3 linked regions of the Macaca fascicularis genome follow. The protein of the gene in region 3 interacts with the protein of the main gene of each other region in a pairwise test. Links are inferred from orthologs where the notes say so. Each region holds a gene or a part of one and is shown on either strand. Other genes may lie near its edges.

Evidence for each region.
Region 1: the proteins of BYSL (region 3) and MRFAP1L1 interact in binary tests that used the Homo sapiens proteins (3 or more experiments, as listed by UniProt). The two-hybrid records come from large-scale screens. The link is inferred for Macaca fascicularis from reciprocal best matches to the Homo sapiens genes BYSL and MRFAP1L1.
Region 2: the proteins of BYSL (region 3) and KRT40 interact in binary tests that used the Homo sapiens proteins (3 or more experiments, as listed by UniProt). The two-hybrid records come from large-scale screens. The link is inferred for Macaca fascicularis from reciprocal best matches to the Homo sapiens genes BYSL and KRT40.

The regions. Positions count from the first base shown.
Region 1 is NC_088379.1:6,384,363-6,387,944, forward strand, and holds MRFAP1L1 (MORF4 family-associated protein 1-like 1), read left to right. Parts: upstream 1-861; 5' UTR 862-1,104; coding exon 1,105-1,488; 3' UTR 1,489-1,503; intron 1,504-2,088; 3' UTR 2,089-3,031; downstream 3,032-3,582.
Region 2 is NC_088390.1:62,068,557-62,072,307, forward strand, and holds the start of KRT40 (keratin, type I cytoskeletal 40), read right to left. Parts: upstream 2,227-3,751; 5' UTR 2,173-2,226; coding exon 1,726-2,172; intron 1,028-1,725; coding exon 945-1,027; intron 332-944; coding exon 175-331; intron 1-174. UniProt on the Homo sapiens protein: May play a role in late hair differentiation.
Region 3 is NC_088378.1:129,635,159-129,638,909, forward strand, and holds the end of BYSL (bystin), read right to left. Parts: intron 3,159-3,751; coding exon 2,998-3,158; intron 2,827-2,997; coding exon 2,724-2,826; intron 2,185-2,723; coding exon 1,839-2,184; 3' UTR 225-1,838; downstream 1-224. UniProt on the Homo sapiens protein: Required for processing of 20S pre-rRNA precursor and biogenesis of 40S ribosomal subunits. May be required for trophinin-dependent regulation of cell adhesion during implantation of human embryos.

The DNA.
Region 1 (3,582 bases), on a different chromosome or scaffold from region 3:
TAGACTTCTTCCATTCCACAATGGCATTAGGTTGGTGATCAAAACGTATTGACGATCAAAGCCACATTTACTAGGTCCCTGCTCATTTTCAGGTCTTGTGTGTGGAGGGACATAAAGGTGACCAAGACCAGAACCTGTCCCCAAACAGCCTCCAGTCTGGTAGAGGCACTTAGGTACTAGGCAATTCCTCTCTCTAAAGCATTCTCTAAGGCCCTGCTTGACGCCAGGCTGACGGAAAGGGCGGAGGACAGAACTGAAACAGAAGTTGCCCTTTACCTTGAGGACCTTACAGACTCTGAAGAGAGACCAAAAATCACGGGCCAGAACCACCCAAGGCAGCGAGCGAAATTCCCCCCAGAACAAAAGTATGAGCCAGGGGTGGGGAGGACAGAGGGACGAGTTCCATTCTAGAACACTGAGCAGGGACTGTGGACCCACATTGCTTTGAGCTCAAATCACGACTTTTAGCCCGGTTTTTACTTCTCTTATAGGTTCGTTGTGAGGGCTAAGTGAATTCATATAAATTAATCCAAGCTTCTGCATGCTTAGATAGTAAGCGCTGTGAACGCCAGCCAGTCTTATTCAAATATGGGGAAGGGAGGGTCATTTTTACTTTAAAAAAATAATAATAAAAGTAAAACCCCTCTGAAGGGAAGCTTTAGGGGAAGACGCGAACAAACCTGCCGCCACCAATCTAAATTAGAGAAGAGGGCGAGGCGGGGCGCCGGGAAGCTGACGGGGATAGCCATGCGCGCGCCCGAGACCCCTTTACGTGCGCGCGCCCGCTACTGGGTCTCGCCGAAGGCGTGACCGTAAAGGAGCCCGGCTCTGTCGTGAAAGGGCCGCAAAAAGGCCGAGGGCGAGTTGACGGCTGCGACTCCATTTCGCAGGTCGCTTTGCTGTGTGTATCCACGGCGATTCTTCCCACGGAGTTCTAAAGCTAAAGGCTTACAATTAAAAGGAAGAAAAAAAGTAAAGATAATTCGGGAGTACTATTGACAAAGCGTGTGGGCTCAGCCTCCAGCAATCACTGCTGATCTCCAGTCCCTGGGGGGTTCCGGTAAGAAGAACGCCCCTCCGGTACTGAAGAAGCGGCAGGAGGAGATGCGGCCCCTGGACATAGACGAGGTGGAAGCGCCTGAGGAAGTGGAGGTGCTGGAGCCGGAGGAGGACTTCGAGCAGTTCCTGCTCCCGGTCATCAACGAGATGCGCGAGGACATCGCGTCTCTTATACGCGAGCACGGGCGGGCGTACCTGCGAACCAGGAGCAAGCTGTGGGAGATGGACAATATGCTCATCCAGATCAAAACGCAGGTAGAGGCCTCGGAGGAGAGCGCCCTCAATCACGTGCAGCACCCGAGTGGCGAAGCCGACGAGAGAGTGTCGGAGTTGTGCGAGAAGGCTGAGGAGAAGGCCAAGGAGATTGCGAAGATGGCAGAGATGCTGGTCGAGCTCGTCTGGCGAATAGAGAGAAGCGAGTCTTCTTGAAGGAGGAGATCGGCGGTAAGGTCGGAAACTCGCGGGAGCTTGGATGGAACTCAGTAGTCCCCCTAAGCATGGTTAAACCGCGCCCTGTAAAAAGTTATGTTCTAGGCCTGCATCCCCCATTTTATCGCATCAAAAATTGAGCATTGGGAACAAAGTTGGGGTCAAGAGGAAAGAATGCGTGCTGGTTTTGTTAGGTGTTAGTATACCGTTTTTTTGTGGCCTCGCCCTCCCACACTGGTAATTAGAGAAAAATAAAAGTAACTTCGGGTTTGTTTTTGTGAAACGTAAGTCAGTTCTAATAGGGCAGTCGCCAGGAAGTAGACCTGTCTCGGCACTAAGGGAGTTTGGGGAAAGCCACAGAAGACCTAGGCTGTGGAGCACAATGGAACGCAGGCTGAGAACGCAGGGAAAGAAATAAAAGAGTAAAGCCAGAGGCCATTACCTGAAATTTCCAGACTGTTCTATGAGACAGGTATGTCAGAGGACCGTGTCTCAAAGAAGTGGCATTCTTCTGGGTGGTTCACATTTATTTTTAACATCAAGATATGGAACTTTGAGAGTCAATGTCTTCATGGTAAATTTCTCCCAATTGTGCTTTAGGTTCACAGCTGAGGACTGTAGTCAACTGGTAAGGATGAACTGACACCTTGAGGAAACTGAAACAGCTTGTCATTTTCTCTGTTTTGTTTTTGTATGTTTTTTACCCCCATGTAACAGTCTCCCTTATGGTCAGTGATTGATGACCTCGATATGGATTTAGATCATCAAATGTGTTTGGTTCTGGAAATACAACTTTTGTCGAAGAAATACTTTCACAAGAGAAATGGGGCTTAATTAAGTTGTTTTCGTGGTCACGTTTATTCTTGTTACTTCGCTGTGTTTTTGAAATGTTGGGCATGGCCTTGTATTTTGCTGTTACCTTTGTGACCTGATCGTTTTTTGGAACACGTCAAGACTTGGGATCAGAATCTTCCAACTTTAGAGGTGCAGTGGAAGATACTACGCTGCCTGGTTGAGCCTGGTGAAGAATGTATTAATGAGACTGCTTTGCATAAAGCTGGGAAGAACGAGAAGACAGTTGGAGATGGAAGGTGGTTTTGTATATATTTTGGAACTTTAGTTCCTCTGTGAGATGAAAGAGGAGAGCTATGTTTTGTGGCACATTGTCTGATATATATTGTGTAACCTGTCAGGTGAGTTGATTTAGACCACATAGCTGACCTTTTATGACAAGGCAGTTTGATTAGGAACTGTCGTAATACCCTCACACATTACAGGGGCATCAGAGAATGGCATCGAAGAGACAGTCTACAAAGAGCTTTAAGAGGCCAGAGAAAGGAAAAGACATTATCAGGGCCTGGAAAGTCTCTTCCAGTTCATCAGGGTAGTAGACCTGTCAGATTGGAGGTCAAAGTCAAACGTATAGTAAGTATTAATTTGCCTTGAAAAACAAAGACCTAAAAAGCCTTTTTTAAAAAATAAATTTTTTGTTCACATGACCAAAGCCCCTCCTGTGTGTGTTAATAAAAGAATCATAAATCAATCTTTTTGAAATGGATGTTCTTCACTGAGTGTCATCAAATGGGGTTGAACTGCTTGTAGTTAAAGGCTCTTGGTAAGCCTTTAACTGAGGGAGAATTATTTCTGGAAGGTGCTGTGGAGATGAGCTGACGGAACACTCAGTTCTGAAGAGAAAAACTTTTCGGCTATCCTCTGGGCCAAGCCCCTGCTTTTCAGCAGCAGAAGTGTGTTTAGTCAACCAGTGGGAATGTAACGTGCTTCATATCTTATCCAAGGCACTAGGAACATAAAGGTGAGACATGGATGGGACGAAGGTGTGGGACAGAAATGGAAACAAGGAATTGCGATATAGAGTGTGTGGATATCATGTGGGAGCCCTGAGGAGGGAGTCAACTCTTAGTAGGGAAGTGTGTGAATTCAGAGCAGGTGACTTACCTGGGCCTGAAAAGTAGAAATGAATGAAGACATATAAGGCATAAGGATCAAAGTGAGCAAAAGCCTTTTGAGTTCCAGCACTGGGGAGACGGCCAGTGAGCTGGATGTTAAGGAGCCTGGAGGGGGTTGTGGGAGACA
Region 2 (3,751 bases), on a different chromosome or scaffold from region 3:
CCCGAAGTGCTCGGATTACAGGCATGAGCCACCGCGCTTGGCCCTGCCTGGAGTAGTTTTATTCCAGCTTAAGCAACATCCGCCCAAATTTGATTTACAAACATCAACAGATCATCTGTCAGTGTTAAGTACGTTACTCTCGGAGTCCTTCAGTGGCGTTGCCGCTTTCCTTACCTCTTCATGGTTTTTCTTAAGGCAAAGGAGATCTTCCTTCAGAGACTCCACATGGGCCTCCACATCAGATTTGCACAGGGTCAGCTCATCCAGGATCCCATGCAGGCCACTGATGTCTGCCTCTAATAGCTGGCGAAAGGACAGTTCACTCTCGTACCTTTCACGGCAAAAGAGAAATCCAATGCTTACTTTGCTGAACGCTGTGCAAAGTGTGGGGATACGTGGAGGATCGACACATGGACTTCAGGAAGCCACATGCATAATTTCTCTTAATTCCTAAGTAATGATAAATTCAAGCTTTTAAAACATTCTTGACTTTAAAATATTATATAGAGAATATTTGTGGGGGTGTGTGTGTGTGAGAGAGAGAGAGATTAAGAGAGAGAGAGAGAGCGAGCCATAAATTATTTTCAAATTAAAATTAAGGCAGGGTGTGGTGGCTCATGCCTGTAATCCCAGCACTTTGGGAGGCCGAGGCAGGTGGATCACCTGAGGTCAGGAGTTCAAGACCAGCCTGGTCCACATGGTGAAACCCCATCTCTACTGAAAATACAAAAATTAGCTGGGTGTGGGTGGCGGCGCACGCCTGCCTGTAATCCCGGCTACTCAGGAGGCTGAGGCAGGAGAATCGCTTGAACCCAGGAAGCAGAGGTTGCAGTGAGCCGAGATAGCGCCATTGCACTCTAGCCTGGGCGACAAGAGTGAAACTCCTCAAAATAAGTAAATTAAATTAAATTAAATTAAATTAAATTAAATTAAATTAAACTTACTTTGACTTAAAGTCATCAGTGGCCAGTTTGCAGTTGTCAAGCTGTACAGCAAGTCTAGAATTCTCTGCTTTCGTGCATAAGATCTGGGAAGCAAGCCATTATGTGACAAATGATTCTTTGAGAGAAACCTAAATAAACTTCTATCCAACAGCTGTGCCATTAGTTATCTTTTGAAAGTCTTTATAAGAAAGTATAAAATCACCCTCAGCCTGCTTTTCTTATTGACCTTGTCGCTTCATGAAGAAAAAAGCAGTGCCAATTTAGAAGCAAAATAGAGAAATAAAAAGGTTTAGTTTTTTAATAACATAAGACACTTTGCAACATCCCTAGGCAGTTGAACACCATTAACGTTTTCTCCATCAGTAGTTTGTATTATGACTCTATCCTCTCCCATAATAATAGAAATTCATCAAGGAGACAAGCAAATGATTACTAGGTGGTTAAAAAGATGGCATTTGACGATTTGTGTTCAGATAATATAAATGTTCAGTGTCAAATACAAAAGCGATTTTGGATGTAATACAGTTTTTCTGCATTCTATAGATGATGAAGGAAAAGCCTAAGGGCGAGTTACTTTATTATAGTCACTCAGTTATCAGGGGTAGTTCTGGCGCTGGTGCTGAGGTTTTCTGACTTTCAGTCCAGTGGTCTCCCCTATGTACCATTAACTCCTGGAATTCCCCTTTCCCTTGGTTGCCTTCTGGAAAACCGTCCCTCTGGTAGAAAGATAAAGCAAGTCATAGATCCGGAAGGTGGAGCACTAGGGCAACAGGACACACACCTTTTGTTGGAGATCTTCAATGGTGTTGAAGTAACACTGATAATCCGGGCACACCATTGGGATATCCTGTTCACATTGTTCTTGGATCCTGGATTCCAGCTCTGCGTTGGTCTCCTCCAGGCTGCGCACCTTCTCCAGATAGTTGGCAAGTCTGTCATTCAGGAACTGCATCGTCTCCTTCTCATTGCTAGTGAACACCCCATCCTCACACCAGGCACAGTTCCCCACCAAGCAGGGACTGTTACAACTCCCAGTAAAGTAGCATGGCAGGAGGCAACCAGTCAGCCCGCGAGACCTGGATAGGAAGCTTGGAGTCTGACATCGGGATGTAGCACAGGCACCGGGGAGACAAGCTGTTTCTATGCAACAGCTTGAGGCAGGTGCACAACCGGAGGCCGTGGTACAGGATTCAGGAGAGCAGTGTGTGGAGGAACAGTCAGAAGTCATCCTTCCAGAAGCAAAGACAGAGGCTGGCTGCAAAACTTCAGTTGCCTTGACTCCAAAACTCTCCTTCCCTCCTGAGAGTTTTATAACGCCCCAAAATGGGTGTTTACAGACTGCACCGGATGTTTTCTTTATCACTGATGGTGCCAGTTTTCATACAAACATCTCATTAGAGTTGTTTATTTACTGAGGAAGAGTTTTATGCCTCATAAAAGAGGGATAACTTTAGGTTACCGAAGCAGGACCTACACCATTTCCATGTGCCAGACAAAACACTTATTTCAGAAAATTGTCATAGGAAACATTGTCCTTTTGACAGAATAAGAAAAGAAAGAGAAAATTTGGCCAATCAATAATTATAGATACAACTCATTACAAATCAGGAAAATAACATGTCCACAGATTTTGATTCTGTGCATTGATTGCTTGGGTCCCCTTTTAAAATTAGTATTACAGCTCATAAAATGACATTTATTTGTTTGTGCCACCACCATAAAAATGGTCAGTGTGATTAGCAATCTTTCAATGCTTTTTGTGTTCTCAGAGTATGTGCTGACAAGACTGGAGGAGTGAGCTATATATTGGACTTAATGTGTGTGTGTGTGTTTGTGTGTGTGTATACAAACATGTCTACCTGCGTACAAATGGAAAAGTCACTTTACGTAACTGATAGGAATAACTTGTTTTTCTGCAGGCTAAAATATAAATTGGTTAGAGCTGGAATTATGATCTTTGATTTTCTGAAACTTGCCTTCTCCCCATTTCTCATTTCTTGTTATTAGATAAGTTACACTATTTTACGTGTATTTCTAATGAGAGTGAAATATAAATTGTAAGTTATAACCTTTTAGTCCCTTGGGAATTCCTCAATGATTATACTTCAGAGTAGGGACAAGGAACCCACAGGAGTCTTTTCTTCTGAGATGTACAGCCTGTTTTCTCCTATTTATTTATTTATGAAGGCCTGAATTTCATGAAAATTAAAACTGCTGGAACTTGCAAAATAAAATTTTATTTAGGTTCCAAATCAGTGATTCCACTGGATGAAATCTCTGGTGCCAAATCTGACAGATAGGAACTTGAGATGTGTAACTTTTTTGGATTCTGTCTTGGATTTCAGCTCCATTATGAAGCATAATCTGTTTCACTTTGCTTGGTTTTAGTCGTTATGTTTATTTCATTTTCAAAGGTGCATAGAGAAAATTGCCTGTAGAATTTTTGAGAACATTATAGGAAAAGAAAACACAGTAATCTGAAAAAGTTAAAAATTTTTTGATCCAGAATAAACTTATTTTTTCCCCTAATCCTGAGGGCTACTTCCTAGGTAGCTGATAATAGAAACCAAACCAGAAGAACATATGTAAGTGAGTTAAAATAGTCTCTGAGGATTTATTACTCCCTGGGCAGAGTTAGGTTTGAATTTAGTGATTCTCTTTACACATCAACACTTATGCAAAAAGTTCTTAGAGTGTCTCATGGTATATTGACGCTGCTCTGCAACAAATATGAGTTCAAGGATTCAAAAACACTTCTGAAAAATTACAAATCTCTGAAAGAAAATTATCTTTTCACAGTAACCTAA
Region 3 (3,751 bases):
AAGCCAGTGGTCTAAAGCAGGGATCATTGAGCCTTTTCTGTAAAGGGCTGGATAGTTAGGCTTTGCGGGCTATATGGTCTCTGACCCAAATATAATCAGTTCTCTTTATAATGTGACCTATGTGTTCCTGAAAATCACTATGCCATGCAATTTGCACAATAAAAACCACAGGTCTCATGGGAAAAATGGGGCTTGAAGCACAACACTCAAATGAGTGACACATGTTAAAAAAAGGATAGCTTGGTTTTTACATGTCAAATGGTTGAGAAATACATAAATATTACAATAAATACGGCCTTTTATCTTGAAGACATGCACTTTGCTTTTGGAAGTGGATGTTGGAAGGGTTGCTCAACACAGGTGGGCAGCTAAGTGAGGTAGCTGGTACATGTTCAAGTGTGAGTTTTGTGTACTAGTTAGGCTTGGTTCAGCTGGGTACAGTTTCCCATATTCACCTAATGTTTCTCGAGGATGAAATCATACACAAGCAAACATTAAGCCTGCGTTATGATCAAACTGTTCCCAAATATATTAAATGGGTTGGAACAAATGCACAATTTTGGAAGCAAATAAGGGTTATAGCAGGATTATACTTAACTCTGCTGTTGTAGCACAAAAGCAGCCACGTGAAACATGTAAATGGGTGAGCATGGCTGTTCCAACAAAATTATGGATGCTGAAACTGGAATTTCATGTAATTCCTACCTATCACAAAATACTGTTAATTTTTTTCCCCATTTAAAAATGGAAAAATCATTCTTAGCTCATGGGCCACACAAAAACAGGCACTTGGGCTGGGTGCGGTGGCTCACGCCTGTCATCCCAGCACTTTGGGAGGCTGAGGCGGGTGGATCACCTGAGGTCAGGAGTTCGAGACCAGCCTGGCCAACCTGGTGAAACCCCATCTCTACTAAAAATTTAAAAATTAGCCAGGCGTGGTGGCACGCACCCGTAGTCTCAGCTACTCAGGAGGCTGAGGCAAGAGAATCTATCGAACCCAGGAGGCGGAGGCTGCAGTGAGCCAAGATCATGCCACTGTACTCCAGCCTGGGCAACAGAGCGAGATTCTGTCTCAAAAAATAAATCAACAAAAAAAGGGGCACTTGGCCGTAGTTTACTAGTCACTAAAGCTTTCATTGGCTGAAAAGCCAGAAAGGGAGCCTGTTTGATGCTAGCTCTGATCTAACTCTTCTTGGGCCCAGCCTTATTCTCTGGCCTTTCTTGACTGTATCTCTGCTTTCCTCAAGTTTTCTCTTGTAGTCCTTTCATCCACAGCTGACACATGACCATCTTTGGACAACCTGCTCCTGGCTGCTGCAGCCTGTCATGGGAGAAGGCAGAGGATGTGTCCCCAGGTGGCTAACAAGGTGAATGTAGCCTGGAGAAACAAGCTTGGAGATCAAGGGAGGTGGCTCCTATATAAACGGGACAAGAATGTCCTCCATCTTCCAGATACTAACAGGAGTAATGCCCACCTCCATTTACTACACCAAACACACAGGTTCAATAAATACCTGCCTTTGCCTTTATCCACAGTGACCTGACACAATAGCCATAGAAAAAGTACTCACACCAAGCCCCAGCTGGGGACTGGGAATGCCAGTGTATGGTATAAGTCGGCTCTCAGAACTGAACAGGGGTAAGGGCCTAGAATGGAAGAGGGAACCAGCCAGACCCTCAGTCCTTCCTGTCCTGGACTGGAAGCCACAGATGTTCCTGTGATCTGTCACTGCCCTGATCTGGGTCTTTAGCCATTAAGGTTTGGTGTCATCTTCAGTCACCAACGGGGGTCTTGGTGTCCTTCCAAACCCCTTTGGCCAGGACAACTGACTGTTTTCTCACTCCATGGTGATGGGAACATCTTCCACATCTCGGGGGACTGCGCTCTGAAGCTCACGCCTGATTTCGGGGGATAGCTGTGGATGGGGCTGCAGCCGGAGCAGTTCTAAGAGGGCCTCTTTCTGGTCTGTGGCCAAGTCGGCCTTGTAGCGCTGGACCAAAGTCAGGAGGCACTGGTGCCAGAGCACAGGCAGTTCACGCTTCTCTGTCCGGAACCCCAGGAAGTGGAAGACTAGGGCATCCAGCACCCGGTAAGGCAGTGCATACTTCTTATCCAGCAGCAGTCGCAGGAAGATGCTGTTGGCACCACTGTATTCCATCTCAGCAATTTTCAGCATGGCCGCGCTAGTGGGAAAGGGAGGTGGGGTAGAGTTAGCGGGGAAAACATTGGAAGAAGGATCCTACTTCTCCCTCTGTGCTTTCCCCCTTTTTTCTTCCCCTCTGCTGGCCCTTACACTATGGTATTCCCCAGGGACCTTCTCACCTACCCAATCGTATTATACTCGCTTGACTTGAGTCACCATCTCTACAGGGATCCACCCAAATCTCTACCTCCAGCATAGACTGCTTGTTTCAGTACCCAACTAGAGTATGGTCCAAACATCTCAACGTCTCCACCCTAACTACTTTCTTCCTGTGTTTCCTACTCATTTGTTCATCTATTTACTGAGTACTTTCTTTATACCAGGCACTCGGGCCCTGTTGTTGCAGAACTTACATTTAGGGGGATAATGATACACCTACTCATTGGCTTAAATAAGCACAAACCCAAGACTATCCTTAGCTTCTTCTCCACTCTACCCATCCCCAAGTCCTGGCAATTCCACTATCTGGATATCCACTGACCAGCCCCCACCCCGCCGCTCCACCCCCAGCAACGCTACCTGGAGTGCAACACAGGGATGGAGCACTTGGTGATGATGCTACCCACAATGATGGCTTCCCGGAGGGTGCAAGTGCCAGACTCGCACAGTGGAATCAGGACCCCTGGGGAGAGTCAAAGGGCAGTCACTATGAGCCCAGGATGAGAAAAAGGAGTTACAGTAGGAAGCATTCCCACCCAGCCCAGGGACAGCTAGCAATTTCCCACACCAGGCCTGCTGTGTTCCCCATAGAAGCTCCAGCCCTTCACTTTCTTCCCTGCCTCTGGGATCCCACCTTTGAACCAGGCTCCAGGTTTGAAAAGGGCCTTCTTGAGAGCCATATAGAGATGGAAGTTGAGTCGTTTGTATTCAGCAATGTCATCTCGTACTCGCGGGAGCAGGACAAGGTTGTAGAAGCGCTGGGCCATGCGTTCCTTCAGGTTAGAGGCAAAAATCCTAGTGGGAGTTAAGTCGGGGAAGTTTCCAAGTCACACGACAGTCTGGACCCGGCCCATTAAATATCACCATGGATAGTGCATACAAGAGGTTTTAAAGTAAAATATGGGACCTTTCTTTCAGTGAGGGATGTGTGGGAGCTGTGTGCATGCAACACCCATCAGCTTAGAGAGAGAATAGGAGGGGCAATGAGATATATCCAAATGAGGAGTGCCGTCTGTCTGTGGGAGAGCCAGAGCTTGTGCAAACTGATGGCTACTCAGCTACTCTCCTTCCTCTTGCTATCATGGCTTCTCTCAATTTTGCTATCACTAGGGCCCTGAGCATGTCTGGACAGTCACAGACTTCTGAGGGTCCTGCTACAGGGTTGTATCCAGTGGCTATAAAAGCCTCTCCCCTAGAAATTGATCATGGAGGGCTGTATCCCAGTGGCTATAAAAGCCTCTTCCCCTAGAAATTCATCACAGAGGGTTCCTAACTGGCTAACTGGGTCTTGGCCCCAAAAAATGACACAAGAAAAGCTAGAAAAATGATGCTATAAAGTAGCAGAGAGGGCCCTGGGGCCAGAGGCAAGGAAAGCCTGCCCGTCCCAA